Ovis aries: one gene and its partners. Each later gene encodes a partner of the first gene's protein in a complex. Links are inferred from orthologs where the notes say so. Each region holds a gene or a part of one and is shown in the gene's direction. Other genes may lie near its edges. The genes, in order: LAGE3, OSGEP, GON7 and TPRKB.

Region 1 (6,154 bases):
TGAGAAACGCCGGGCTGGAAGAAGCACAAGCTGGAATCAAGATTGCCAGGAGAAATATCAATAACCTCAGATATGCAGATGATACCACCCTTATGGCAGAAAGTGAAGAGGAACTAAAAAGCCTCTTGATGAAAGTGAAAGAGGAGAGTGAAAAAGTTGGCTTAAGGCTCAACATTCAGAAAACTAAAATCATGGCATCTGGTCCCATCACTTCATGGGGAAACATGGGAAACAGTGTCAGACTTTTATTTTGGGGGCTCCAAAATCACTGCAGATGGTGATTTCAGCCATGAAATTAAAATATGCTTACTCCTTGGAAGGAAAGTTATGACCAACCTAGATAGCATATTGAAAAGCAGAGACATTACTTTGCCAACAAAGGTCTGTCTAGTCAAGGCTATGGTTTTTCCAGTAGTCATGTATGGATGTGAGAGTTGTACTGTGAAGAAAGCTGAGCACTGAAGAATTGATGCTTTTGAACTGTGTTGTTGGAGAAGACTCTTGAGAGTCCCTTGGACTGCAAGGAGATCCAACCAGTCCATCCTAAAGGAGATCAGTCCTGGGTGTTCATTGGAGGGACTGATACTGAAGCTGAAACTCCAGTACTTTGGCCACCTCATGTGAAGAGCTGACTCATTGGAAAAGATCCTGATGCTGGGAGGGATTGGGGGCAGGAGGAGAAGGGGATGACCGAGGATGAGATGGCTGGATGGCATCACCGACTCGATGGACATGAGTTTGGGTGAACTCCAGGAGTTGGTGATGGACAGGGAAGCCTAGCGTGCTGCAATTGATGGGGTCGCAAAGAGTCCAACATGACTGAGCGACTGAACTGAACTGAAGTAATTTTGTGCATATGTTGTTTCATATTTGTGAAGTAACTGGTACATGTGGCATTCCTAGGCCCAAGACACTGTCTGAGTTTTTGAGGGGATGAGAAGGGGGCAACAGAGGATGAGATGGTTGGATGGCATCACCTACTCAATGGACATGAGTTTGAGCAAGCTCCGGGAGATGGTGAAGGACAGGGAAGCCTGGCGTGCTACAGTCCAGTCCATGGGGTCGCAGAGTCAGACACAACGGAGCACACAGAATGTTGTTTCATCCAACAAGAAACAAACCACCTAGTGCATGAACTACATAGAAAAGGTATCAGAGACAATACAATGACAGTATAGAAGTGAACAAACTTACAATTTCAGATTATTAGAAATGAGCAACCTGAAATGGGCAAATGTGATGCACGGTGCCTGGGGGTAGTATGTTAGATTGGTGATCCCAAAGGCCTCTCAGAATTGACACTGGAGACTAGATCTTAATGACAAGAAGGAGCCAGCAACGGGAAAGTCTGGAGACAGTCTTCCAAAAAGAAAAAGTAAGTGCTAAGGGATGCGGGCAGGCCACCCTTGGTCAGGAGCAGAGAGAAGTCCCTAGAGGTTGCACAGAGTAGGGAAGCAAGAAGGTGGAGGAACCCTGAGCCGGGTCACACAGGACTTTTATAAGCTACAGGAAGGAGTTTGTCTTTGGTTTCAAAGACAACAGGAAACTGTTTTAGTAACTTTAAGCAGGGACATGATATGATGTGATATATATTAAAAATTAAGAACTGATTCTACTGTGGAGAACAGAATGTAGAGGAGCAAGCATAGAAGAAAACTAGTCAGAAAGCTGTTCAAGGGGCTCCCCTGGTGAAGAAAAAAAAGTGAAAGTAGTAGTCACTCCATTGTGTCCCACACAAGGCTCCTCTGTCCATGGAATTCTCCAGGCAAGAATACTGAAGTGGGTAGACATTCCCTTCCCCAAGGGATCTTCCCCACCCAGGGATCAAACCCGGGTCTCCTGCACTGCAGGCAGATTCTTTACCATCTGATCCACCAGGGAAGCCCCAGTGGTAGAGAATCCACCTGCCAATGCAGGAGACTTGGAAGCTCTGATCCATGAAGATCCCCCATGCCTGGGAACCACTAAGCCAAGTACCACAACTACTGAGACTGTGCTCTAGAGCCCACGCGCCCTACAGCCTGAGCTCTGCCAACAAGAGAAGGCACTGCAATAAGCCCGCTTGCTGCAACTAGACAAAAACCCTCACAGGAAGGAAGACCCAGCACAGCCAAAAACAATTAAATTATATGTGAAATATATATATCAAGTTCAGGGAGATAGGGTGGCCACCGGTGGAGACTAGCAATGAAGGGGGAGAGGGTAGGCTGATTCAGGATGGATTTCGAGGGGTGATCCAACAGGCTTTGATAACCTACTTCACCTTTATGCCCTTCCTTCTGATTACAAAGGAGGAAAACAGAAAACTAACAGGGCTATCACCATCAGAAATTTCATGTCACTTTAAAAACTTATTTTTGATTAAAAATGCCGTATAAGGTTACTGTCAAAAACTTGCAGAACAGAAAAGGGAAGTTAAAATCGAGTCATACAGTTTGTGAAAGGCCCGAGCTGTGGGAAAGAAAGAGTTAGTCGCTCAGTCGTGGCCGACTCTGTGGTTTAGTCAGTAAGTCGTGTCCAACTCTTGCGACCTCACGGACTGTAGCCCCCAGGCTCCTCTGTCCATGGGGTTCTCCAGGCAGGAATACTGGAGTGTGTTGCTATTTCCTTCTCCAGGGGATCTTCCTGACCCAGGGATCAAACCCGGATCTCTTGCATGGCAGGTAGATTCTTTACCCACTGAGCTACAAGGGAAGCCCCGAACTGAGGAAGGGAGATTCATTTCTCTGCGGCCAACGGAGATTCCCCTCGGCCGGCCGGCTCCACCAGACCTGTTTGCGCAAGCGCGCGGGGCGGGGTCGGCGCGCGGGGCGGGGTCGGCGCGCGGGGCGGGGTCGGCGCGCGGGGCGGGGTCGGCGCGCGGGGCGGGGTCGGCGCGCGGGGCGGGGTCGGCGCGCGGGGCGGGGTCGGCGCGCGGGGCGGGGTCGGCGCGCGGGGCGGGGTCGGCGCGCGGGGCGGGGTCGGCGCGCGGGGCGGGGTCGGCGCGCGGGGCGGGGGCGGCGCGCGGGGCGGGGGCGGCGCGCGGGGCGGGGGCGGCGCGCGGGGCGGGGGCGGCGCGCGGGGCGGGGGCGGCGCGCGGGGCGGGGGCGGCGCTTCAGGAAGAAGCAGCAGTTTTTAAGCTGCTCGCGTAGCGGGTGGGCGACGGAGAGTCCTGGAGCCAGTGGGTGGGGTTGGAGGCGGAGCACGGCAGCCATGCAGGAGACAGGTGGGGACGTAGGCGCAGGCATCCTGGCGGGTGGCGCCGAAAGCCAGGGCCGGCGGGGGTTCGGGGGTGGCCGGGGCAGCCCCGGCAGCGCGGGTGCTGCTTCCGCTGCAGACCACGGAGCTCCGGGTGTCGCGCCGGCCCAGCACTCTTCCCAAAAGCCGGGAAGCCGACCATGCGTATTGTATCCTACTCGAGGGGCAGTGCGGATTGGGCTGGGGGATGCCTGCGGTGGGAGGTGGGACAAACGGACCGGCGGGTCAGGGGCTGCTGGGGGGTGGAATGGCCAGGGCGCCTGGGGCGGGTAGAGAATAGAGAGCTGAAGGGAGACTGGAAGCTGGGATGGGCCTGGGTGGCGTGGGTCGGGGGGAGAAATGGGATCTCGGGGCAGTGGGGTGGCTGGGCTGGATTAGGGCTACGAGCGGCCCGGAGGGGCTGGAAGCGGTCCTGAGACAGGACCCAGAGCTCCAAATCCTTGTGGGTGGTACCTTAACCGCATCTCCATCAGCACCCTAAGCGTGCCTTTCCCGTCCGCGTTGGAGGCAGAGATTGCCCATGGGTCACTGGCCCCAGATACCGAACCTCACCGTGGGGCGGTTGGGAAGGAGCTCACAGTGAGCGGCAATGTCCTGGCTGTGTAAGTTGGAAAAGGGGCTGGTTGGAAGTGGTAGCAGGTGACCAAGCTTGTCTCTCGCCGGGGGCGCTCTGTTTGGACATACTCAAGGGCTGTGTTTATGGAGGTGACGCAGTGCCCTTGATTCAACCCATCTCCACCTTGATTCTCTTTTTCTGTCATTTTCAGCTGCTGGAGAGCTGAAGATTGCCGCCTCCTTCGAATCTCCATTGTCAACTTTCTGGACCAGCTTTCTCTGGTGATGCGAACCATGCAGCGCTTTGGGCCCCCTGTTGCTCGCTAAGCCAGGGCTGGGGAAAGGGGGGTCTGATCTGGTGGCCCTTCCTAGACAGTGCATCCTTCCTAGGGCAGTGATTCCTGCACTAGTTGCCTATTATGGGGGCCTCATCTTTTGGCTATAATGGCCCTTGGGTGCTCAAGGTCCACTTGCATTGTTTGGTACTTAAATGTTTCTTAACTACTGAAAATAAAATTGACCTATGATGAGTTTATTTTCAACTGTAGCACCTTCAAAATTCTTGCATTTGTTCTTAGATGGGAGGGTTCTGATTCAGATAGTCAAGTAGTACAGTGTAAGTGAAGATAATCTAAGAAATGGAGGAGGATAGGTCCTGTCTCTCATTCAGTATTAGCTACTATCAATATTTTGGAGTATTTTTGAGTTTTATAGTTACATAGTAAATGTGTAATAATAATATTTGATATTTTGCAAGTTTAGCATTTTTCCTGGTATTTCTCATCTAACATGAACTTTTTTCTAAAAATTCTTCAAAATCATTATTGATTGTTTAAACTATTTTCAGTCTTTGCCATATTATAGGTAATGATTCCATGGAACACTTGTATATAGATCTTTGCATGAATGATTAAGATTACAAGAAGTAGAATTAATTAAATATTTAAAGCTCTCAATCTGAAGCATGTGAAATTACTGTCCATAAAATGCCCTCCCACCAGAATTCTGGTTTCCCCACATTAGTGTCACCATTGGGGGCTTCCCAGGTGGTGTAGCAGTAAAGAATCCACCTGCCAGTGTGGGAGGCACAAGAGATGAGGGTTTGATCCCTGTGTCCAGAAGATCCCCTGGAGGAGGAAATGGCAACCCACTCCATGATTCTTGCCTGGGGAATCCCATGGATAGAGGAGCCTGGTGGGAGTCCATGGAGTCGCAAAGAGTCAGACGCGATTGAGGGCCTCAGCACTGCACAGGGGCACAATTGACTGCAGTGCACTTGGGACAGTAAAGAGCTGGCAGACATGAAGGTGTTTGTTGGCCATGAAGCTCTGGACCATTTTGAACAGAGTGGGGACAGGGGCCACCATGTTTATTGACAGAGTCCTGGTGCCTCCCATGGTGAGAAGAGGCTGAGGGAAGCCAGGGCAGAAATGGGGTCCAGGCAAGAGACAGGGGCAGCTTGGACCAGTCAGGGGCAGTGGGGATGGGGAGAAGGGGGTGGCTTCTGAACATGTCTTGAAGGTGGAGCCACCCAGCCTCATTGATGGATTGGACATGGCTGCCCTGGACCACCTCAGATCCTCAGAAACCCCACAAGGAGTCACCCTTGCTCCCACAGATGGCCTCCAGCTCAGGCAGAATCCGACAGTCTCCCCACCTGCCCTGAGAACAAAGCCACATGCCAACTCTGTTTCCCAACATTTAATTAGGAAAAAAAAAAATGACAGGTCAAAGAAAACCTCATGCAGAAAAGAAAAAGAGGCCAAATCGGGTTTGTAGGAGCATGGACTGGGGCCAGGTTCCTCCAAGGAGGCAGAAGAACAAAGGAGTAAGGCACTGCCACCTCTGCCCCTCGAGGCGTGCGCAGGGCAGGGCAGCGGAGGGTGAGTGGTCTGGGGGCGTGCAGACCCCACAGATGGAGTTTGGCAGCAGGGCCTGGAGGAGGAGAGTCCGGTGCCCCCAGGCCCAGGTCTGGCCCTGGCAGGAGCCTGATTCAAGCCCTCCAGGCCTCAGAGAACACGGCCTGGGAGGAGGCCCAGGCCCAGCCCGAGAAGTCTGGACAGGCTTCTGTGTCAGCTGCTGGGGGACCCCCTCCGCAGAGCCATAGTCTGAGGGCACCTTTGGAGCCTTGCCCACCCCGAGTGCTGCTGGTGTCCAGGCCCTCTCCTGGAGATGGGCAGGGGCAGCCAGGGGAAGGGGTGGGGCCAGAGGTGAGGCCAAGGGGGGAGCCGGAGGACTCGAGGAGGTGAGTAAGGTTGGGACATCTGGGGCAGGGGTGGGTGGATGGGGGGGGGCGTATTTACAGATGGAAAGGGTGAGTGGAGATAAATTAAATAAATAGGTGGCTGAGGCATAAATAGCA
Region 2 (7,098 bases), on another chromosome or scaffold:
TCATTGAGTCCTGAATAGGAGTTAGTTATGAAGAAGGGCATTGCTCAGAGCTGTTTAGCTTAGCTGAACAGGCTGAAAAGACTATATCTGAAGACAGGATGTTTGAGGAAAAGGGAGGGGACTCTTCCTACCCTACTGAAATGTCTGTTTTGACTTCTAGGTGCCTTTCTGTAGGAAAATTCTTAGGATCTCTGACTTGTGTCCGTCTCCTAGGATTCCTTCCAGGTGATACTGCTAGGCACCACCGAGCTGTTATCCTGGACCTGCTGCAGGAGGCACTAACAGAGGCTGGATTAACCTCTGAGGATATTGATTGCATCGCATACACCAAAGGTATAGCTAGAAGTGTGCACAGCAGTGGAAGAATATACCTGGAACCCAGCTAGGTCAAAATAGTCTGCACCTCACCTTTGAAACCACCACTACATCCGCTGTACCTTCACATCCCCCGCTTCCCTCAACTCTGTTTTTCCCAATCTCTATAGGATTCTAAGCCCTATTCTGTCCCCATAGGTCCTGGCATGGGTGCCCCACTGGTTTCTGTGGCTGTTGTGGCCCGTACTGTGGCCCAGTTATGGAATAAGCCATTGCTGGGTGTTAACCACTGTATAGGTCACATTGAGATGGGCCGCCTCATCACTGGAGCCACCAACCCAACTGTGCTGTATGTCAGTGGAGGAAATACACAGGTATTTAGAATTCTTCACGGTTCTTTTTTTTTTTTTCCCCTCAGATTTTTGGGTATTTTTAATAACTGAAACAAAACAGATCTAAAACCACAGCTTCTAGAAGAACCATCTGTTCTTGCTGGTTTTGTATCTTTCCTCAAACTTGACCTTGACCTCTTGTTGGGATGCACATTTAAGAGCAGGGTATCTGAAGACATTCTCCTTGGCCACAGTTTTTTCCAAGGGGATACCTACAGAGTACCTTGTGGGCTTGAAGTGGTATACTTCAAGTTACAAACTTTCACAAAAGACTTGCTCTCTGACCTCCTGGCAGTTTTCTTCTTGCCCATGGTAGCTTTCACTTTGTACCTTGCTAGCAAGGTAGCAAGATCATAGGTGTTCATGATGACTGGCCAGGGGCATCACCACCTCCCAGGTTTCATGAACTTGGCCATTTTGACAGAAGCCATTCAGGACTACAGCAGAAGAGTTCCACCAGTCCTTCTTAATTTCTGAGGCACTGTGCTAGCAACTTTCACTTTCTGCCTGAGTGGTAGGAAAACTGGGCTCATCTGAAGCTAAAAAGTGATACACTGGAACATTGGATGACCTTTATACGTGGCTATCGAGATGAGGAATTTCCAGCTTAGAGAAGGAAAAAATAGTAAGGATTGAAGTGTTTAAGGATTTTTATTTTCATTATTTTGAAGCTTATTTTTCCTATGAATGTTAGCAATTAAAATTAAGGGGCACTTGGCAGTCCAGTGGTTAAGACTCTGCTTTCAGTGCCAGGGGCACGGGTTCTATCCCTTGTCAGGGGACTGAGATCCTACATGCCTCAAGGTGCAGCCAGAAAAATTTTTTTTAAAAAAAAGAAACTAAAGGGTACTATCTCATTTGTTTCTTTACAACATTTGTTTTGTTTTAGTTACTGATGGTAAATATATAGGTTTGTTTTTTTTTTAAGAGTGAAAATGTAAGTAATTTAAATAACATTTTATGAATGGTGGAAGATGTTTTAAATTTATAGATGAAGCCAGAGTTGTTTGGGATACCTTACAAGATCTTTTTAAGTTGAGATGGGAGAACTCTAGCCTTCCTTTTCCACCTAACACCTGATGGGATTATTGTCCAGACTGATTCCTCTCTCCTGAAAGGATTATATTCCAAAAGTTCATTTTGTGAAATAGTTATTAAAGATGAAGCATGCATTTCTATGAAAATGACGTGAGAACTTTAATGGGTAGAGAACAAGTAATTGGTTGAGGCCTGAAGGATATTTATTGTACAAGGTTAGAAACTTAGGGTGTGGAAAGTAACAGTGGAAGCTTACAAGATTTACTTGAGATGAGCAGTGATGGAATTTTCTCTTTTCCTCTTTCCCTTTAAAGCCTGCTTAGGTGTGAAAAACAAGATGATTGACTACAGAATTTTTCTTTATGCTTTTGTTTCCAACCTTTTATCAGTAGAGTAAGGGCTACATCAGAATGGAAGAAAATCCCTAGCAGCACCAGAAAGGGAAAGGGACTTAACGATCCTTTGGAAGTACTGTCAGAAGTCTGGAGCTTAAGTGTCAGTGGGTGATGAATACTCTCTGTGCTAGAAGTTGGTCCCATATGAAGAGTGGACAGAAGTCGGTTGCCAGTGCTGAGCTGGATGAGCAATTAGTCTGACCCAGTATGGAATTTTGGGGTTTTGTTTTCGTTGTTATTGCTGCACCAAGTGGCTTGTGGGATCTTAGTTCTCCTGCCAGGGACTGAATGCATTTGCAACCAGGTTCAGGGAATTCCCTGGGATTTTTGATTTTTTTTTTTTTTTTTAACTCTACCTTAGTGGTTTCCAAATATTACCACCCTCATAGGATAATGTTGAAGAACTCTGGTTCCCTGCCTCCAAGAAGGAAAGCTTTCCCTAGTCCACACTGTCTTGACTGCTTTTAAAGGAATATCAGCAACCTCCAAGCTAGAAAAATGTATCCAAAATGGTAATTTACTTCTCTCCCCTCCTAGGTTACCGTCTTTAGACTAGAAGTCTATTCTAGGAATCTTTAGGGTGTATATAGACTTCTCAGAAGTGCTATTCAAAAGTACCTGTTGAGGGACTGGGAAAGTACTTTATTTCCATTGGTTATTGAAGTTCTAGTGGCCACATTGATCCTCTGCTATGTTCTTCCCCAAGCCAAATGCTCCTCTTTACAGACTTGAGGTTTCATGGACATCCTCATCACCCTTAGGTGATTGCGTATTCAGAACATCGTTACCGCATCTTTGGGGAAACCATCGATATTGCTGTGGGTAATTGTCTGGATCGTTTTGCTCGAGTGCTGAAGGTGAGTCATTGAGGCTACAGAGAATATAAGTTGTGAATGAATTTTGGGAGAGCTATGGAAAAGGAAAGGGAAGATAAATTAGCTTCTTTTGCTTCATAGATACCTGCCTTCATCCTGTTTTTCCTTCTAGATTTCCAATGACCCAAGTCCAGGCTACAACATTGAGCAAATGGCAAAGCGGTAAGGGGAATAAGGCAGAAGGAGGCTGACTGGTGGGGTGCCAAGGATTTCCCTGTGTATGTATTAATGAGCTTTGGGAGGGCTTTGGAGGGTGAGCAGCCAGCTGACTACAGGCTTAGTGCCTCATATACTCACTCCCACATAGAGGCAAGAAGCTAGTTGAGCTGCCATACACTGTAAAGGGGATGGACGTCTCATTCTCTGGGATCTTGTCTTTTATTGAGGTGAGTGTGGGGAGGTGAGGAGATGGGCACTTTCATGCTTTTTAGTGAAGTGTGCGAGTTTTGCTCAGTGTAGTATTTTCTGTAGTATATAGCATAGTACTGGCCTATGTTAGATGCTGAATAAATTCATCTAGCAAATACCTATTGAACATCTTTTGTGTACCAAGTGCTGTTCGAGGTAATAGTGATACTAGATGGAGCAAAACAAAAATCTGCCTACTTGGAGCATGCATTTCATGGGGCATGGAAGGAGGGAGGGAGACAGAAAAAGAAACAGACAAAGAAATGGGAAAAAAATAAAAAGGGTCAGACGGGGATAAGTCTGGAGAAAAATTTACCAGGGTGAGACAGAAGGTGAGAGGCCAGGCATTCATGATTATTGAATCTTGAAAGAAGGCTGCTGGTTTTATATATATAGATATAGCTCAGTGCCAGTGAAGAGCAAGATATACGATATACTGGTATGGGTGAATTGTGGTAAAATATAGCAATCCTCCAAGTGTGCTAGTTTTTTGCTCACATGTCACCCCCAGTTCACTGTTTTATCTGTTTGCCCCTGTAACTACAGGACATAGCTCAGCGCATGCTGGCCACTGGAGAGTGTACTCCCGAGGATCTGTGCTTCTCCCTGCAGGTAATGAAGTGAAGAGCTGGGATAGAAAGGTGGAGCTGACAGAACTAAACTGGGATCGCCTCTGATGTTTTCAACTTGTCTGTCCCCCACAGGAAACTGTGTTTGCAATGCTGGTCGAGATCACAGAGCGGGCCATGGCGCACTGTGGCTCCCAGGAGGCCCTCATTGTGGGAGGTGTAGGATGTATGTATCATTGAACTGACCTTCTCTTTTGTATTTTGGGGCATGTGCATCTTGCTCCTGATACTCTTAATCTCTAAGGGTTTGGGGAAATTACTTATTTTGTTTCTGTCCTATGCTTCCCAGTCCTTGCCCCTACTTCATTTTCCTAAGTCAGTGCACATGAGGTGTATAGCTAGACTGGAGAAATGGCTAAAAATAAGCTAATCGTACCCCTGCCTCTGTAGGTAATGTGAGGTTACAGGAAATGATGGAGACCATGTGCCAGGAACGTGGAGCTCGGCTTTATGCCACAGATGAAAGGTAAAGGCCCTCCCACCCACACATACTTTTTGTCCCTCCAGTTGCTGTGATTTTCTACCCTTAGATCATGAATTGCATATGTCTTTTCCTTCCCAGATTCTGCATTGACAATGGAGCCATGATAGCCCAGGCTGGGTGGGAGATGTTTCAGGCTGGACACAGGACCCCTCTCAGTGAATCTGGGATCACACAGAGGTAAGTGGCCCCTGGGAGGAGGTAGACAGCATTATATGGGAGGTAGGCAAAAATCCAATAGGAAGAGGACCCAGAATCATGAGGGCAAAGAAGAATGGAATAAGGGTTAACTGTCCACCAAGTTTTTCCTTTTTTTTTCTCTTTTAAACAGGTATCGGACAGATGAAGTAGAAGTGACCTGGAGGGACTAACAAAGTTAACAGGATTGGAGTATTTGGTGCCCTGAGTGGAGCCCAAGGGACCCTAGGCCTTAATCTCTGTCCTGACAAGGCTTTGGACTCCCTTGTCTCATCATTTGAACCTCAAGAATTGACTCAGTATTAAAATATTTTTGGTTTTATATGTTGGCAATTGACTTGTGTTCTGGAAGAATATACATTTGGCAGTGGTCAAATCCTTTTGATGGGTCGATGGATAAGGAGGGCAGGGGTCGGAGCAGCACCCTGGCGGACTGCAGGTAGCCTTGGGAGCTGCTGCTCTGGAGCTAAAGTTGAGGAGAATCTCTGAGATATTCTAACCTTCCCTTAGGAATGCATTATCATTGGTACTATTTTAGCATCAGGTCTTGTGTTAATTGCTTTACATTCATCACCGTGTTTAAATTCTTTGAAGTGTAGGTACTCAGGATTTCCCTGAAAACAGCCTGAAGCCAGATATAATTTCATACTAATTGATAACTCAAAAGTAAAACTGTCCCTCCTGCATACACTTAAGCCTACAGACATTTCCATTGGCAGACCAGAGGGAGGCCCTGGGTACGTGTCCTGCCACAACCACCAGAATTAACCTCATCATGCACTTTTATTTATACCAGTCACCATAAGAAGTGTGACTATCAAGTCACCTCTCTTTTAAACTCTAATAACCATTACTCTCCATTCCCTTTTTTGTCCCTGTCCACCCGCTTCTTTAACTCTTGCAATTCTTTTTGTAATCTCTGAAGTTAGCAGCCAGTCATTAGCAGAAATCCCATGTATCCTCAGCATCATCTCTGAATGTTCCCTGTACATGGTTGTGCTCTGAGCCCTGGTTTCTCCTAAGGATTCTGCTGCTCCTGCCTCCTGTAGTGGCGGTGGGTTCTCTCACACCCACTGTAGCTCTAGGCCGGCCTGGAGGCAGTGTGGGAGGCCGCATTTTTCCTCATGCTGCTATTAGACTACTCTCATCTCTAACATGCCTCAGCTTTAAAACAATATCTGTCATAAATCTTGGTGCTTTAAATACCCATATAGATTATCTTGCTAACACTGAACTGGTCTCAGTTCTTTGCACCTCCACTGATCTTTTCCTATAGTCCCACTTCAGCTACTCCTTCCTCTGGTCGTATTCCAGCCCTACTGCTAATCCATATCTCAGTCTCAAACATCCCACTCTCCCACCGTTACTTCCTATTTTTCCAATTGACTCCACGTGTCTTCACTTCTGTCCTGCAACTAAGTGCCAGTCATGAGCACCTCATTGCAAACAACTAATCTCTTTTGCTTCTCTTGCTTTTGTCACACTCAACTCTTGACTGACTTTATGCCTACACCCATTCAGCTGAAAGGGCTAGGGAAAAACAGCCACGTTGACTTTAAATTCATTACCAAGAAACTTCAGTGGGTCCGTTATGCTAAAAGTAGTATTTGCTAGTCTTTTCACTTGCCCTCCTTTTTGGGGGGGTGGGGTGGAACTCTGTGTTGCTTGCAGCATCAAAGTTGGGAATTCTCTACTTACCACTTTTCTGATCCTGTTTTATTCCTTCTGATCCCTCACATCTCCAACATCCCCTTCATTGTTTTTGGTAGAAAATAGAGACAGTGAATAGGTTCACAAGCTTCTACCACTACACTTACCATAACTTCCAGCATTTATACCCATATGCTCTGCTTTCTCTCCTGTTACTGTATCTTTTTTTTTTCCTCATTATTTTTGCTGTTGTTTATATTTTTCTCTACTGTTGCTACATACCAGTGGTTCTCATCTGGGGCTGAGTTTGCTCCCAGAGGGCATTGGGTTGTAACCGAGAGGTGGTGCTCTGGGTGGAGGCCAAGGCTGCTGCAGTGTAGTTTACAGTACACAGAACAGCTTCCCCCAACAGAATTATCTGGGGTGAAGTGTCATTTGTGTCAAGGTTGAGAAGCGTTGCTCTAAACAAACTGCCTAGGCTCCCTTCCAAATCCTTGGATAGCTTGTCCCAAGCTCTTTCAAGGACATCTCCCATCTTTCCTGTAGGGTCAGTATTTTCCTTTCTTGGAGCATCCTATATGCTGGAGCATGCAAATCACGCTGTCATTTTTCTCATCTTAACAAAGACCCAAATCTCTCTTGACCCCATTTCCCCTTCCAATTGCTTCCAATTTTCCTGTTCAATTTTTTAAAAACACGAGTTATTTTTAAAATTCA
Region 3 (7,204 bases), on another chromosome or scaffold:
GACTTCACACACTGTAAAGTCCCTTATTTTCTGTTTCATTTTTGGTATTTCACTTAAGTTATTGTAGAAGATAGTCTTTATTATCCAAAAAGCAGTGAAAAACTTTTGCAAAAGCCCATGCTCATTATTGCCCAGTTTTATTTATTGTTTTAAAAGTCATACCCTTTTCTTTAAAAAGCCTTAGAGCATGAGCACAATCAACACAACTGAACCTGAATCACTTTAGAACACTACCCCCAAAACCTTTCATATTAATTACAATCTATAGGTAGGCTCTGAACAGGTTACTTAGCTTTCCAACAAATAAAAAACTGGGGTACAGTCTAACATTGATTTGCCCATTGGCAAAGAAGCATAGAACTTCCTTTTTGAAAATTCTTGGTTTTATCCCCTAGGACAAATACAAATCTTAGCTACTTTCTATGCATTTATCGTTTACTGTGGTTACTTACAGGAAACAATTTGCATTCCAAATTTTTAAACTTGCTGTTTCCACAATCACAACGAAAATTTCTGAAAGAAAGGAGGAAGAGCCAATTTTAATTTTTCTTCTAAGTCTAAAGACTACATTCATATCATAGCCTCTTCCCTTTCAATTAGCTTCTAGGATCTAAAAATTGGACTTGGTTGTTGTTCATGTATCCAATCCGCAATTTTCCCAAGCATATTACAATAAAAGATTTAATAATTCTATAAATTAACATGTGTGTGCTGTGTGCCCAGTCATGTCTGACTCTTTGTGATCCCACGGACCGTAGCCCACCAGGCTCCCCTGTCCATGGAATTCTCCAGATAAGAATACTGGAGTGGATTGCCATTTCCTTCTCCAAGAAATTAACATGCATAAAGACAAATATCTGTATCTCACACACACACATAAAACAGTGGAAGGATAGCAGGAGTAGTCTGAGTTTGCCTCATAATTATATTTTAAAAGGTCCCCTGGAAAAACTGTTCTTTCCGATTACATTATATAAAACAGTTGCATTAAATTTTACCAGGGCACAACTACTTTGAATGCAAAAACATGATTAAGAAAAAAAGTGCAACTGGAAAAGAATCTAAACATTTGAAAAGCATCCAGCATCAATCTCTGACCAGTTTACCTTTTCGTGTACAGCTCAAATAGTTTATGACTTCCATGACATTCGTAACTGCAAGCCAGGCAAATTCCTGCCGGTTCTTCTCCCTCTGGAGTGCAGGTACTGCAGGCATACAGTGCTTGTCTCTTTACTGAACCCTAAAGACAGCCCCAAAATGGAAAAAGACCGGAAACTGATGAAACACTGGCAGAGCAACCTAATGCCCACACTATGATCTGAGAAATAACTGAAATCAGATGATCTGGGGTCAAGATCTTCCTGTAAAAGCCACTGAGACTAATAAAAAAGCATATACAATAGAATACCAAAACACTGTTGCAGGTTTCATACACGTTTCATATAACTTTTTCTCAAAGTGATAGAAGTTAACATTTTTAGTCAGCTGTGAATAAACCGGTCTGCTTAACTATTTTAACACATGAAAATACAGGAGAATGTGTGTAAGCTTATGTAAGGAATAATCATACTTTAATTTTGGAAAATGCTTGTGATTCCACCAAAGAGAAAACCAGTGCATTAAATGAATCCCTTTGATTTTAAGATGTATGCTGACATATTTAGAGTTGAAGTGTCATGGTCTGAAATTTATTTTCAACTGGTTCAGGAAACAAAAACAAAGTATATTACAGTGAAGAAGTAAAAGATAAAACAAATGTGGTAAAATATTAAAAAGTGAATATATGTGAAGGTACACAGGTGTTCATAATATTATTTTTTCATTTTAACTGTAGACTTTAAACATTTCAAAATAAAAAGTCGAGAGAAAAGCAAATCCTGATAATGGCTGCCATCTTCTGAGAAGAAGGGAGTCCCAGGAAAGCTTCTGTGATGCTGGTAATGTTCTATTTCTTGATCTGTGTGGTATGTACCTGCAGGTGTTTTCAGTTTTGCTTTCCCAAGACTTATACATGGTTTCTGCACTTTTCCACATATTTTACAACAATACAAAAAAATTTTTTAAGGAAGTCTGTTTTAAAAATCTAACTACGTTTCAAAAATAACTTACAGGCTTTTTTAAAAAAGGCAAACAGAGAAAAAGTTGTTCCAGTGGCGACCAAAGGTTTTAAAATATCAGCCAACATTAAATACCTCTGAAGCCAGGTGTATTAAAAAAAAAAAAATCTAACCACTTTGCAGTGTAAACTCAACTGGTCATTGATAACAACTGGTATTGTGATCTCAAGCAACACCACGTAAAGACCCCATGTCTCTCTCCCCATCCTGCAATGTTCCACTCCACCTGCCTGGAAGATAACCTTCTTCCTATCAAGTACCATCTCTCATTAGTTTTCTTCTACCACCTTTCTCCATTTTTGAACCTAGAAACATAGAATGAGTCACCAAACACTACGTCACACCCCCTCCAGTCCTTGTTCCCACCATCTTCCGAATGCCATCTCTCCTCCCCTCCTTTCCTTTGCCAGTGCCACCAGCTGTTCGGGTTCCGGTCTATGCCCCTGGAGGGCCGACTGCAGAGAGACGTGGTACTTGCTTCCTCTCGCCAAAAAAAAAAACCAGCTAGCACCTGTCAAACTAAACTGCAGAGGAACCAGCTGTCCAGGAGTCCAGCCTACGCGGAGAGATTTTCAAACCCAGAGCTCTCTCCTTTAATTATTTGACTCTTCCGTTTAGTACCCAGCAAATACTCTGAGGATGGGAAAAGTATGGACAAAGATACTCAGGATGTGAAAGGTCACGGGGTTGGTTTGGTGAAAAGCGGCCGGGGCACAGAGAAGAGACGAGGAAGGAAGGAAAGAGCAGCTGCTCTGGGGCCAAAACCGTAGAAACGTCGGGGGCCTGACAGAGGAAAATCGAGAAAGGAGGGGCGTCCTGCTGGCCACAGGTTAGAAGGGGCTCAGAAGACTAAGTGTAAAAGGGCACCTGGGCCTGGGATGGGGAAGCCTACGACCAACAGCTGCGCTGGACCACCACAGGGGGCCGGCCGCGGCCGGCGGGAAGAGAGAGGGTAAGGCGGTGGGGAAAGGGAGGTTCAGCGGAGGCGAGGGCCGAGCCGCGCGCCCACCTGCGAGTAGGAGCACTTCTCCGAGTCACTGCCGCCCAGGACGGCGCAAGCCTCATTCTCCAGCTCCTCGTCCTCCTCCAGTACATCGACCAACGATACCACGGGCTCCAACTCCGACTGTCGCCCAGCTGGCTCCTCAGCTCCAGCCATCCTCAACTGTCACCAGGACCGCCGACCGGCCCCGGCGGAGGCGGGAAAAGCGTCCGCGAGGGGCGGGGCCGGAGGAGGCGGGGCCTCGGTGCCAGACACCAATCCCAAAGACAGGGAGCGAAGGAAGGGGGAGGAGCGACTTCCGACAAACGGAAGTCAGGCCTCTCCCTTCTCCGCGCCTGCGCCCGCGGCGGGCTGGTTTCCGTTTCCGGTGGCGACTCACTGTGGCGCGCTCCTGAAGCGTAGCGGTCGCTATGGAGCTGTTGGGCGAGTACGTCGGACTGGAAGGGCAGCGACAGCAGCTGCGGGTGCCTTGTGAGGCGCCGGGCGTCACCGACCCTTTCCAGAGCTTGTTGTCCGGTGTGGCTCAGATGAGGGAGCTGGTGACTGAGCTCTTCGGCTCTCAGGTACAGCCGGAAGCACAGGACCGGGGGACGGCGGCTCCCGACGAGGCCTTGGACGGTGAGCTTTGAGACGGTTCAGCGAGTGACAGGAGGGCGGGCAGGGGCGCCCGGAGAAATTTGGGCTGTACCTGGACTCGTTTAGCAGGACTGCTTTTGACGATTCTCTTTTCATTTATGTCACACAAAAAACGTACTGAACGCCTACGGCCCTGTGCCAGTCACTGGGCTGAACTCTGGAGAAAGAATGACGTGAATGCGACTCAGTTCCTGTTCTTGTGGAACTCTGTGGGAGGTTAGACAGACAAACATTCTTATTAAAGAGTAGAAGGAATGACCCTAGGCTTCTTTGTAACTATTGCAAACCTAGAGAACCCAAGAAGGCTTCAGAAAGAGCATGACTTCTAAGCTGGGCTTAGAAGGATGGAAAGGAATTTTCCCAGGCGTGAACTTACAAATATGTTTGGAAGACCGCCATCTATTACAGAATAGAAACAGGTTCTGAAGATTGGAATAGATTTCAGATGAACAAGGCTTCACTGTCAGGGACTCCTTTCATTTCCCAGTGTGGTAGGTGCAGTTTGAAAGCAGAAATGGAAATTTTAACTGTATTCTTAAGTCTTGTCTTGAATACCCTGAGCTGAAGAACCTAAGAACTAAATATTGGAATCAGGGCTTACTTCCCCTATTGTTGTTGTTGAGGTTCAGTCGCTCAGTTGTGTCCAACTCTGCAACTCCATGGACTGTAGCACACCAGGCTCCTCTGTCCTTCTCTGTCTCCCAGAGCTTGCTCAAATTCAGGTACATTTAAACTGCAGTGCCATCCAGCCATCTCATCCTTTGTCTCCCCCTTCTCCATCTGCCCTCAATCTTTCCTAGCATCAGTCTTTTCCAGTGAGTCAGCTCTTTGCCTCAGATGGCCAAATTATTGGAGCTTCAGCTTCAGCATCAGTCCACCCAATGAATATTCAGGGTTGATTTCCTTTAGGATTAACATTTCATCTCCTTGCCTTCCAAGGGACCCTCAAGAGTCTTCTCCAGTACCACAGTTCAAAAGCATCAATTCTTCAGCACTCAGCCTTCTTTATGGACCAACTCTCACATCTGTACATGACTACTGAAAAAACCATAGCTTTGACTATACAGACCTTTGTCGTCAGAGTGATGTCTCTGCTTTTAATACACTGTCTAGGTTTGTCATAGCTTTCCTTCCAAGGATCAAGTGTCTTTTAATTTCGTGGCTACAGTCACTGTCTGCAGTGATTTTGGAGCCCAAGAAAATAAAATCTGTCACTGCTTCCACTTTTTCCCCTTCTATTTGTCATGAAGTGATGGGACCGGGTGCCATCTTCTTTGTCTTTGAATGTTGAGTTTTAAGCCAGCTTCTTCACTCTCCTCTTTCAGCTTCATCAAGAGGTTCTTTAGTTGCTCTTCACTTTCTGCCATTAAGGTGGTATTATCTGTGTATCTGATGTTTTTGATACTTCTCCTGGCACTCTTGATTCCAGCTTGTGCTTCATCCAGCTTGGAATAAGCAGAGTGACAATATACAGCTTTGATGTACTCCTTTCCCAATTTTGAACAAGTTTGTTGTTTCCTGCCTGGTTCTAACTGTTGTTTCTTGACCTGCATACGGTTTGGGGATTGGAATAAAAACTGACCTTTTCCAGTCCTCTGGCCGCTGCTGAGTTTTCCAAATTTGCTGACATATCAAACAGCATCATCTTTTAAGATTCTAAATAGCTCAGCTGGAGTTCTATCACCTCCATTAGGTTTGTTCATAGTCCTAAGGTCCACTTGACTTCAGACTCCAGGATATCCAGCTCTAGGTGAGTGACCACACCATTGTGGTTATCCGTGTCATTAAGACTTCTTGTATAGTTCTTCTGTGTAGTCTTGCCACCTCTTAATTTCTTCTGCTTCTGTTAGGTCCTTACCATTTCTGTCCTTTTATCATGCCTGTCTTTGCATGAAATGTTCCCTTGGTGTCTCCAATTTTCTTGAAGAGATCTGTCTTTCCCATTCTATTATTTTCTGTTTCTTTGCATTGTTCATTAAGAAGGCCTTCTTATCTCTCCTTAATATTCTTTGGAACTCTGCATTCAGAAGGGTATATCTTTCTCTTTCTCCCTTGCTTTTCACCTCTCTTCTTTCCTCAGCTCTTTGTAAAGCCTCCTTGGACAACCAATTTACCTTCTTGCATTTCTTTTACTTTGGATTGGTTTTGGTCACTGCCTACTGCACAGTGTTACAAACCTCCATCCATAGTTCTTCAGGCACTCTGTCTGCAAATCTAATTCCCTGAATCTATTTGTCACCTCCACTGTATAATCATAAGGGATTTTATTTAGGTCATACTTGAATGGCCTAGTGATTTTCCCCTACTTTCTTCCATTTAAACATGAATTTTATAATAAGGAGTTCATGATATGAGCCACAGTCAGCTCCAGATCATGACTATGTGGAACTTCTCCATCTTAAGTTGCAAAGAACATAATCAGTCTGATTTCAGTATTGACCAGATAGTGATGTCCATGTGTAGAGGCGTCTCTTGGGTCATTGGAAAAAGGCGTTTGCTACGACCAGCGTGTTCTCTTGACAATACTCTTAACCTTTGCCCTGCTTCATTTTTGTACTCCAAGGCCAAACTTACCTGTTTCTCCAGGTATCTCTTGACTTCCTGCTTTTGCATTCCAGTCCCCTATGATGAAAAGGACATCATTTTTGGTATTAGTTCTAGAAGTTGTAGGTCTTCATACAACCAGTTAACTTTAGTTTCTTCAGCATCAGTGGTTGAGACATCGACTTGGATTACCGTGATGTTGACTGGTTTGCCTTGGAAACGAACCGAGATCATTCTTTCGTTTTTGAGATTGCACCCAAGTACTGTATTTCAGACTCTTTTGTTGACCATGAGGGCTACTTCATTTCTTTCCAAAGGATTCTTGACCACTGTAGTAGATACAATGGTTATCTGAATTAAATTCGCCCATTCCTGTCCATCTTAGTTCACTGATTCCTAAGATGTTGATGTTCACTCCTATCATTTCCTTCTTGACTGTGTCCAGTTTACCTTCCAAACATTCTTGGTTTCTATGCAATATTGTTCTTTACAACATCAGACTTTACTTTCACCACCAGACACATCCATGACTGAGCATCATTCCTGCTTTACCCCAGCTGCTTCATTTTTCTGGGGTTATTAGTAATTGCCCTCTGCTCTTCCCCAGTAGCATATTGGACACCTTCCAACCTGGGGGCTCATCTTCTAGCGTCATCTTTTTGCCTTTTCATGTTGTCCATGGGGTTCTCTAGGCAAGAATACTGGAGTGGATTGGCATTTCCTTCTCCAGTGGACCATGTTTTATCAGAATTCTTCACTATGACGCATCCATCTTGGGTGGCACTGCGCAGCATGGCTTGCAGCTTCATTGAATAACACAAGCCCCTTCACCATGACAAGGCTGTGATCATGAAGGTGTAACTCCTCTGTAGAGGAGCTTAAACTGTACTGTACTTTCCTTTTC
Region 4 (7,371 bases), on another chromosome or scaffold:
AGAACCAACCTGCTGAGTGAACACATACACCAAACAACCTGTCTTTTTGGCTCCCTGTGAAGCCTGTTCCTCACCCTCACCACTCTATTCTTATATACCCCCAGTAGAATTGTTATTTAGTCACTAAGTCATGTCTGACTCTTTGCGACCCCATGGACCATAGCCTACCAAAGGCGCCTCTGTCCATGGGATTTCCCAGGCAAGAATACTGAAGTGGGTTGCCATTTCCTTCTCCACAGGTAGGTGGTAGTGGTTGCTACTATATTGACATTAATGACTTCAGAAATCGGGGGTAAAGTAGAACTACTTCAAGAGACCAACTGTGACCACATACACAGATTATAAGGGAATATTAATAACATCAAAGAAAATGGAAACATTAAAGAGCCCTCTTTCCATCTGCTAGAGGTTATGTTCAAGAGAGAACATTTTCAACAGCCTGACACAAGGCATTTTTCTATTTCCTTATGAAGCAATTCAGCAAATTTACTTTCCGTTTTATTTAAACTTTTTTTTTTATTAAAGTATGGTTGACTTACAATGTTGTGTTAGTTTCTGCTGTACAGCAAAGTGAATCAGCTATACATATATACTGAATATATATTCTATTCCTTTTAATATTCTTTTCCATTATGGGTTTATCACAGAATATTGAATACAGTTTTTTGTGCTATACAGTAGGATCTGTTCTATGTAAATGATGGAATCACAGGATACACTATTTTTATGTCTGACTTTTTTTCAGCATAATTTTGAAATTTGTCAATGTTATTGTATGTAGCAATAGTTGATTTCCTTTTAACTGCCAAGTTGTGTTCCATTGTATGGATATACAGTTTGTTTATTCACTTAACAAGGGTTTGGGTTGTTTCTAGCTTTTGGTGATCACAGACAAGTCACTTTGAACTGGACAACTTTGTCTTTTTAAATCAACTTTACTGAGAAATTTTACAAAATGTACTTTCTAAAATGACATAATTTGATGCATTTTAATGCAGGTTCCCTTGTAATTAACATGACATCAGGACATAGAACATTGGCTTCATCACAAATGTTCTCTTGGTTTTTTTTTTTTTTCCCAGTGTCTCCCACTTCCCCGTCCCTAACAACCACTAATTTGCTTTCACTCTAGAATAAATTTGCTATATTTGCAATCCCTATAGTTTTGTAGAAATGGAAACATACAGTAACAATTTTACTTTGCTTTTTTTGCTGAGCATGTTTTTGATTGATTCATGTTGCAAGTATGTTCATTCCTTTTATTACTGAATAGTATTTCATGACATGAATTTACCATGATTTGTTTATCCATTCATGTATTATTGGGCACTGGGTTGTTCCCAGTTTGGGGCCATCATGAGTAGAGTTGCTATGAACATTTATGTTCAAGCCTGTGGGTGGACATGTTGTCACTGCTCCTGGTTAAATATCAAGGAGTGGAACTGCTGCGAATGGTTAAGTACGCACGTGCAAGGGAGTGTGCTCAGTTGTTTCAACCGTGTCTGACTCTTTTTAACCCCATAGACTGTAGCCTGCCCAGCTCCTCTGTCCATGGGATTCTCTAGGCAAGAACACTGGAGTGGGTTGCCATGCCCTCCTCCAGGGGATTCTCCTGACCCAGGGATCAGACCAGCAGTCTTGCATCCCTGCACTGGCAGGTGGATTCTTTAACACTGGGGCCATGCATTTAATTTTTTAAGAAACTGCCAAACTCTTTTCCAAAGTGGTTACACTATTTTTATTTTATACTCCGACTAGCAATATGTGAAGGTTCCAGTTCTGGATGTTTGACAACACTTGATATTTAAAAATTTTAAGGTCTTTCAAATTTTAGCATTCTTATGGGTATGTAGTAATAACTCATTATGTTTTTAATTTGTGTCTATTTCCCTGATGACTAATGATGAGCATCTTTTCATGTTTTTATTGGCCTTTCATGTATCTTTCCTAAAATGTGTTCAATTGTGCCATCTATCCTTAATCAGGTTGTGTCTCTTACTATTTTCGAATTGGAGTTGGTTATATAATCTGGATACCAGTCTTTCCTCAGAATAATTTCATATATATTCCCACTGGGCTCAAGCCACACGGTTCTCTTTGCTCTTTCTTAAATGAGGCCATATCTGTTCTGAGTCTTTTAACTCTCTCTGTTCTCTCTGGAATTGCTGCTCTTCAGATACACACAGAACCTGCCTCCAAACCTCCCCCAGTCACAAATGGCCCTTTTTGGTGAGATCTTTCTTAACCATCCTATTTTAAACGGTAATACTCACGGCCTGACATTACCCCCTATTCTCTAGTTTTTTTTCTCCATAGCACATATCTATCCTATTTATTATTTACCTTTTTGTTTAAAGAAAAGTATTGACCTAGATGAGCCCCCAAGCATAAAAAACATGGAAGAATAACATATTAGAATAACATGGAAGAAAAACACCCATTTAGCGGATGACCTCCTCTTTCGGAGGCTGATACACTCAGGGATGGCAAACGGGAGCCTGCTGGGGGAAGAGGTTGTACTGACACCTCTCTCAAATACCCTAGGCAGATCGCCGAGCGCTTTCGGCTCCAGGAGATCCTGGCCAACTGGACCTCGTCCAGAACAAGAAAAAACTGAGTCCTGCTTGCCTCGAAAAAGAACTGTAGAATCTCGAGCAGCGGAGACATATGTAGAGCTCATCGGAACCATTAATTTTCTTCGCATAGGATGAAACAGGATGTCTCGTTCAAGGCCAAGCGGCTTAAGGACGCGGCCAAGACCCGCACTCAAGCTTCCGGCCCGGTCGGAGGAGCCTTGCCGCCACTCTCATAGGAAGTGGCGCACCGAGCCCCTGCTCCCCTTCGGGTCAGCGGACGCGACTCACGCCGGCGAAACACTCTGTGTAAGGAGGTAGCTGAGAACCTCCCTCCGACCCCGACCTGAAATGACACTGCAGGGTCGGGTAGGGCGAGGAAGGAACGCAGCTGCGGCAGATCTCCCGGAAGTTGAGCGCTTTGTTTCCGTGGGGAAGATCTTACGAGACGGACGGGGACGCGACGGTGAGTACCTGGCGCCACATCGCTGGCCGGGGCGGGCGGGGACTGGAGACCAGTGATTTTCCAGATGATACCTGTGATTTTCGGCGCCCTCGTTTATCGAGCGTTTGCTAAGGTCGGGTCCTGGGATGCAGCCCGGCAGTGATCGGCTCAGCCTCCCTTCGAGGGCGGACGATACAGCATTCTGATGAGCCTCAGACTCACCAAAGTTGTAACAGAGGAGCTCGGAGAATAGGAGACTAGTCCTGGGGGCGCCGGCAAATGGGCTCTTACTGGCCAGTCGAAGGGAGGGAGGATTAATTCAGAGTAACCGCCTGTCCGAGGGGGCGTGCTGGGTAGGGACTGGGGGTGGTGACAAGCTGGAAGGGCCAGTGCGGCTGAGGGGAAATGAGCGCTGTCTGCAGGGCTGCGCTAGGAAGCGGAAGAGGGAGGAAGGTCTCAGATCATAGTCTGGGACTCCGTGACATAAAGGGACTTGATAGCAGGGCAGGATTTGGTGTACGTTTTGAAAAGATCACTTTGACTCCCGGGTGGAAGTTGGATGATAGGAGGGAAGGAATTGTGAGGCGACTTCTAGGAGGTCACCGCTGTTGAGGAGAGAAGGTGGCCAACGGCAGTGGCAGAGTAGGTATGGGAGAGAATTGGACCCTTCAAGATGATACTTAAAAATTGACAAGAGTTTTGCATAAGATATGGGATTTGAGTGGAAGGTAAGTATCCAGCGATGGTTCGAAGTTTCTGACCTAAGTGAGTGAATTATATAAAACAAACCAAAACCATTTTTGACATTTGATAGGCCCCCTTTTCCCCCTACTGTAAAAACAAAAAACACAAAAAAATTGTTTCCTCCCTGGTTGTATGTACTCATTATCTTTTGTGTGCTCACTGTAGAAAATTCAGAACATGCAAAAATATTTTTTCTAGAAAACAAAATTGTCTGTAATTCTGCTACCCAAGATGGCCGTATTTTGGTGTGCTTCCTTTGTTTTTGTTTTCTGAATCAATTTTTTTTTTTTTTTGGTAGAATTGGGTATACATTTTATGTATATATATTTTTTCCATTGGATATTATCATGATAATAAAGATTGTGTGGCCCTGCTGTGCCAAGACACTATTCACAATTTTATTTTTCCAGATTGTAACAGAAAAAATCAGATGTAATTCCAGCAAGTCAAAGATAATATTTTGTTGTTTTTTCCAGTAGTTTTCTTTTTGTGTCCATTTTAAAAAACCCACATATTATGAACATTTTGTTTTATTTTCCAATCAGATGTTAAGTACTTAATGTTATTTATTACTATATTTACACATCCTTAGCTACTCTTCAAGACTACAGTTTTTAGTGGTTGGTCAGTAAAGCCACTGTAGTTGGGCCTGTTACTAGTTAGGTAGGTTTTCAACCTTTTACTCAGGATGATAAAAACATCTTATTACATAAATCTTCAGATTGCCAATTTATTCCTTCAGAAAAACGGTGGAAATAAAACCTCCTAGATAAAAGGATAAAGTGACCCTATATAAAATTGCTTCATCTAAATATCTCTGAGACTTTAATTGAAATTGTTTTAAAGATTATATTTTTGCAGTGCTTAGTATTTTCATTCAAAGATAGATTATGTCTCTCCAGTTATTTGTTGTTTATGCTGCTTTTATGTTTTTGTATATACCCTGTCCTTTTCTTGTTAAATTTATGTCTATAAAGGGTGTTACTATTTAAGAATTGTACCCTCTAGGCTTAAATTCCCATGTATGTAATGAATATCTGAGTTGTGTCATACTTTCTTCTATAAGATTGTTTTCTGCCTTATATTTATGTCTAGATTCTGTCAAAATATAAATAAAATGGTGAGATTAGAAAGCTAAAAAGACTAAGTTGGAGTGAGGTTTCCTTAATGCTGTAAGTACCCTGTGGTCTAAAAAGTGTTTGGTGCCCTGCTCCTAGTTGTTGAGAATCTCCCCCTCATCCAGAGCCTGCCTTTTCTGTACAACTAGGGGACCTGGTGTTGCCCTTGATCGTTTCCCAGGAAGGAAGCTAGAACAGCTTAGCAGGGTTAGGAAGACAGTCTGTCATCAGGCTGCCAGATGTTTTGGGGTGGATTTTTCAAGTTTAACAGTTCTACATCTTACTATTAAAGTTGTAATACTTTAATTGTGAGCAAGGATATTTGTTAGTGACTTACAGTTGTTAACTTTTGGTCTTTTGGTCTTGTGCAGTAGCATCCTGCTTATCTATGAAATGCAGTTAACACATCAGCTGGACCTATTTCCTGAATACAGGGTGACCCTTCTGTTATTTAAAGATGTAAAAAATGCTGCAGGCTTGAGAAAAAAGGCCATGGAAGGTGCCATTGATGGCTCATTAATAAATCCTACAGTGGTAAGTACTCATGGCAATGAGTGATTTTTCATGATGTTATGGGTTAGCCCAAAATTGTTATCTTCATGTAAAAGGACTTGTCTAACCTGTAGAGTGGATTCAGATTTGGCCAGCCTTCAGTTTAACAGTGAATAGAAACCAAGTGGGAGAAGGCAATGGCACCCCACTCCAGTACTCTTGCCTGGAAAATCCCATGGACGGAGGAGTCTGGAAGGCTCCAGTCCATGGGGTCACTGAGGGTCAGACAGGAATGAGCGACTTCACTTTCACTTTAAAAATGGCAACCCACTCCAGTGTTCTTGCCTGGAGAATCCCAGGGACGGGGGAGCCTGGTGGGCTGCCATCTGTGGGGTCACACAGAGTCGGACATGACTTAGCAGCAGCAGAAGCCAAGTGCTGAGCCCCGTCCTGACGTGAAAGGTGGTTTCCCTCTGATATGATGGCAGATGCCTAGATACCCATCTTGTGTGACCTAGAAAGCCTCTGTAAAGGAGGCATTGCACAGTGGTAGAATCACCAGGACTTAAGTCCCAGTTATGCCATTTATTATGACTTTGAGCATGTGGTAGCCTTTATTCAGTGCTTATTTGGTAAGTTCTTTATATTACTGCTAACTCACTTAATCTTCACAACAACTCTATGAAGTAGTGAGATGATTATCTGCTTCTAAAAGATAAAATGCTAAGGAATTTGCCCAGGTTCCCTTGGTGGTAAGTGGCAGAACTGAAATTCCAACCCATTCTTTGCCTTGGTTTCCTCATTTATTGCACATGAAAAATAATAAAAGATATCAAATAGGGTAGGTTTGAGTAGAATAGAAAATAAAGTTTAAATGTTGAGAATATGGCCTTTCCCATAATAATAGTCCTCAATAAGTTGTTTTAAAACTCTTTGTATCTTAATTGCCTGCAGCTGTAGAATTCTGTGATTTTTCTAAACACCTAGGCCCTTAAGATTTTGACAATTTTGAAAATATAGAAATTGTGATGAAGTAAAACAGCCTGATACTCGAGGGTACAGGGCATTGTTCTTCAGAGTGCTCCAGATTCTTTGTGTGTAATTCTTCCTGTTCTCTTTGGTAGATTGTCGATCCATTTCAGATAATTGTGGCCGCAAACAAAGCAGTTCACCTCTACAAACTGGGGAAAATGAAGACAAGAACTCTATCTACTGAAGTTATTTTCAATCTTTCCCCAAATAACAATGTAATTAATATGGAATGTATACTTTATTTATATCTTTTGATCTTGTCATGGTAGCCTGTGTGTGACTCAGTGTTGGGTTGGAGCCTGTTGCTGGTAACAAACCAAAATAACAGTGAAGAGTGAGTGCTGGACAGAGTTGAGGTTTAGCATTGCCGCCTACGAGACAAGTAAGCGTTGGAGTCACTCATGAAATTTAGCTAAAGTAATTGAGGATAGTTTTATTTGTCCTTCCTGACATACAGAGTTAGGAAAATGCTATTTAAATCTCATGATAAAAATTAGGCATGGGTATTTGTGTGTTACCATGCACATCTTTTATTCTCCCTATAAACTCTTTGAGGATAGAACCATGCCTTTTCCATAGACCAGAAATCTGCCGGATACCTAGACTAGCTCTTAACACATGCTCATACATGCAGTACATAGGAAGAGTTTGTGTTTGAGAGATTGATAGTAATCAAAGTTTTTGAGTTAAAAACATTCCACCTGGGCTTATTTTTTAAAAAACCAACTAATTTTGCTGACGAAGTTTAATTATTACTCATGGGGTCACAAAGAGTTGGACACGACTGAGCGATTGAACTCACTAAGTACTAACTACTAAACACAGTCAAGTACTGACATGGAGAGAAAGATTAGGAAACGTGTGGCATGGTTTAAAATGCAGATGTTTGAAAAATTTATAAAATGGGTAGTAATGGGATTCCCCAGTATCTTGGGGAAAATTACTGGGTGATTGTCTCTTTGAGATC

The links.
Region 2: the proteins of LAGE3 (region 1) and OSGEP are in contact, whole or in part, in a crystal structure (PDB 6GWJ), measured with the Homo sapiens proteins. The link is inferred for Ovis aries from reciprocal best matches to the Homo sapiens genes LAGE3 and OSGEP. Residues at the interface, in NP_006005.2 of Homo sapiens: Glu76, Ile77, Gly80, Ser81, Leu82, Pro84, Asp85, Asp125, Gln126, Leu129, Val130, Arg132, Thr133, Met134, Arg136, Phe137, Gly138, Pro139, Pro140, Val141, Arg143; in NP_060277.1 of Homo sapiens: Arg50, Ile53, Leu54, Asp55, Leu57, Gln58, Leu61, Gln69, Ala84, Val87, Ser88, Val91, Val92, Arg94, Thr95, Val96, Gln98, Leu99, Trp100, Asn101, Leu315, Ser318, Gly319, Val320.
Region 3: the proteins of LAGE3 (region 1) and GON7 are in contact, whole or in part, in a crystal structure (PDB 6GWJ), measured with the Homo sapiens proteins. The link is inferred for Ovis aries from reciprocal best matches to the Homo sapiens genes LAGE3 and GON7. Residues at the interface, in NP_006005.2 of Homo sapiens: Pro60, His61, Ile62, Phe63, Thr64, Leu65, Ser66, Val67, Pro68, Phe69, Pro70, Glu74, Arg102, Ile103, Glu111, Cys113, Leu116, Arg117, Val120, Ile121, Leu124, Asp125, Leu127, Ser128, Val131, Arg132, Met134, Gln135; in NP_115879.2 of Homo sapiens: Met1, Glu2, Leu3, Leu4, Gly5, Glu6, Tyr7, Val8, Gly9, Gln10, Leu17, Asp28, Pro29, Phe30, Gln31, Leu33, Leu34, Val37, Met40, Lys41, Val44, Thr45, Leu47, Phe48, Asp49.
Region 4: LAGE3 (region 1) and TPRKB share a complex: the UniProt entries of both Homo sapiens proteins name them as parts of the EKC/KEOPS complex. The link is inferred for Ovis aries from reciprocal best matches to the Homo sapiens genes LAGE3 and TPRKB.

What each region holds. Positions count from the first base shown.
Region 1 is NC_056080.1:79,961,837-79,967,990, forward strand, and holds LAGE3 (EKC/KEOPS complex subunit LAGE3), read left to right. Parts: upstream 1-3,145; 5' UTR 3,146-3,192; coding exon 3,193-3,386; intron 3,387-3,710; coding exon 3,711-3,839; intron 3,840-4,004; coding exon 4,005-4,119; 3' UTR 4,120-4,339; downstream 4,340-6,154. UniProt on the Homo sapiens protein: Component of the EKC/KEOPS complex that is required for the formation of a threonylcarbamoyl group on adenosine at position 37 (t(6)A37) in tRNAs that read codons beginning with adenine.
Region 2 is NC_056060.1:24,952,482-24,959,579, forward strand, and holds the end of OSGEP (tRNA N6-adenosine threonylcarbamoyltransferase), read left to right. Parts: intron 1-213; coding exon 214-333; intron 334-513; coding exon 514-689; intron 690-2,901; coding exon 2,902-2,997; intron 2,998-3,127; coding exon 3,128-3,177; intron 3,178-3,322; coding exon 3,323-3,401; intron 3,402-3,969; coding exon 3,970-4,035; intron 4,036-4,127; coding exon 4,128-4,218; intron 4,219-4,442; coding exon 4,443-4,518; intron 4,519-4,614; coding exon 4,615-4,713; intron 4,714-4,864; coding exon 4,865-4,904; 3' UTR 4,905-5,053; downstream 5,054-7,098. UniProt on the Homo sapiens protein: Component of the EKC/KEOPS complex that is required for the formation of a threonylcarbamoyl group on adenosine at position 37 (t(6)A37) in tRNAs that read codons beginning with adenine.
Region 3 is NC_056071.1:55,648,011-55,655,214, reverse strand, and holds the start of GON7 (EKC/KEOPS complex subunit GON7), read left to right. Parts: upstream 1-3,473; 5' UTR 3,474-3,530; coding exon 3,531-3,738; intron 3,739-7,204. Other genes in the region: putative E3 ubiquitin-protein ligase UBR7, read right to left, coding at 453-513, 1,107-1,240, 3,127-3,276. UniProt on the Homo sapiens protein: Component of the EKC/KEOPS complex that is required for the formation of a threonylcarbamoyl group on adenosine at position 37 (t(6)A37) in tRNAs that read codons beginning with adenine.
Region 4 is NC_056056.1:95,598,098-95,605,468, reverse strand, and holds the start of TPRKB (EKC/KEOPS complex subunit TPRKB), read left to right. Parts: upstream 1-3,013; 5' UTR 3,014-3,151; exon of another isoform or gene 3,152-3,746; intron 3,747-5,251; exon of another isoform or gene 5,252-5,254; 5' UTR 5,255-5,273; coding exon 5,274-5,414; exon of another isoform or gene 5,415-6,496; coding exon 6,497-6,619; exon of another isoform or gene 6,620-7,371. UniProt on the Homo sapiens protein: Component of the EKC/KEOPS complex that is required for the formation of a threonylcarbamoyl group on adenosine at position 37 (t(6)A37) in tRNAs that read codons beginning with adenine.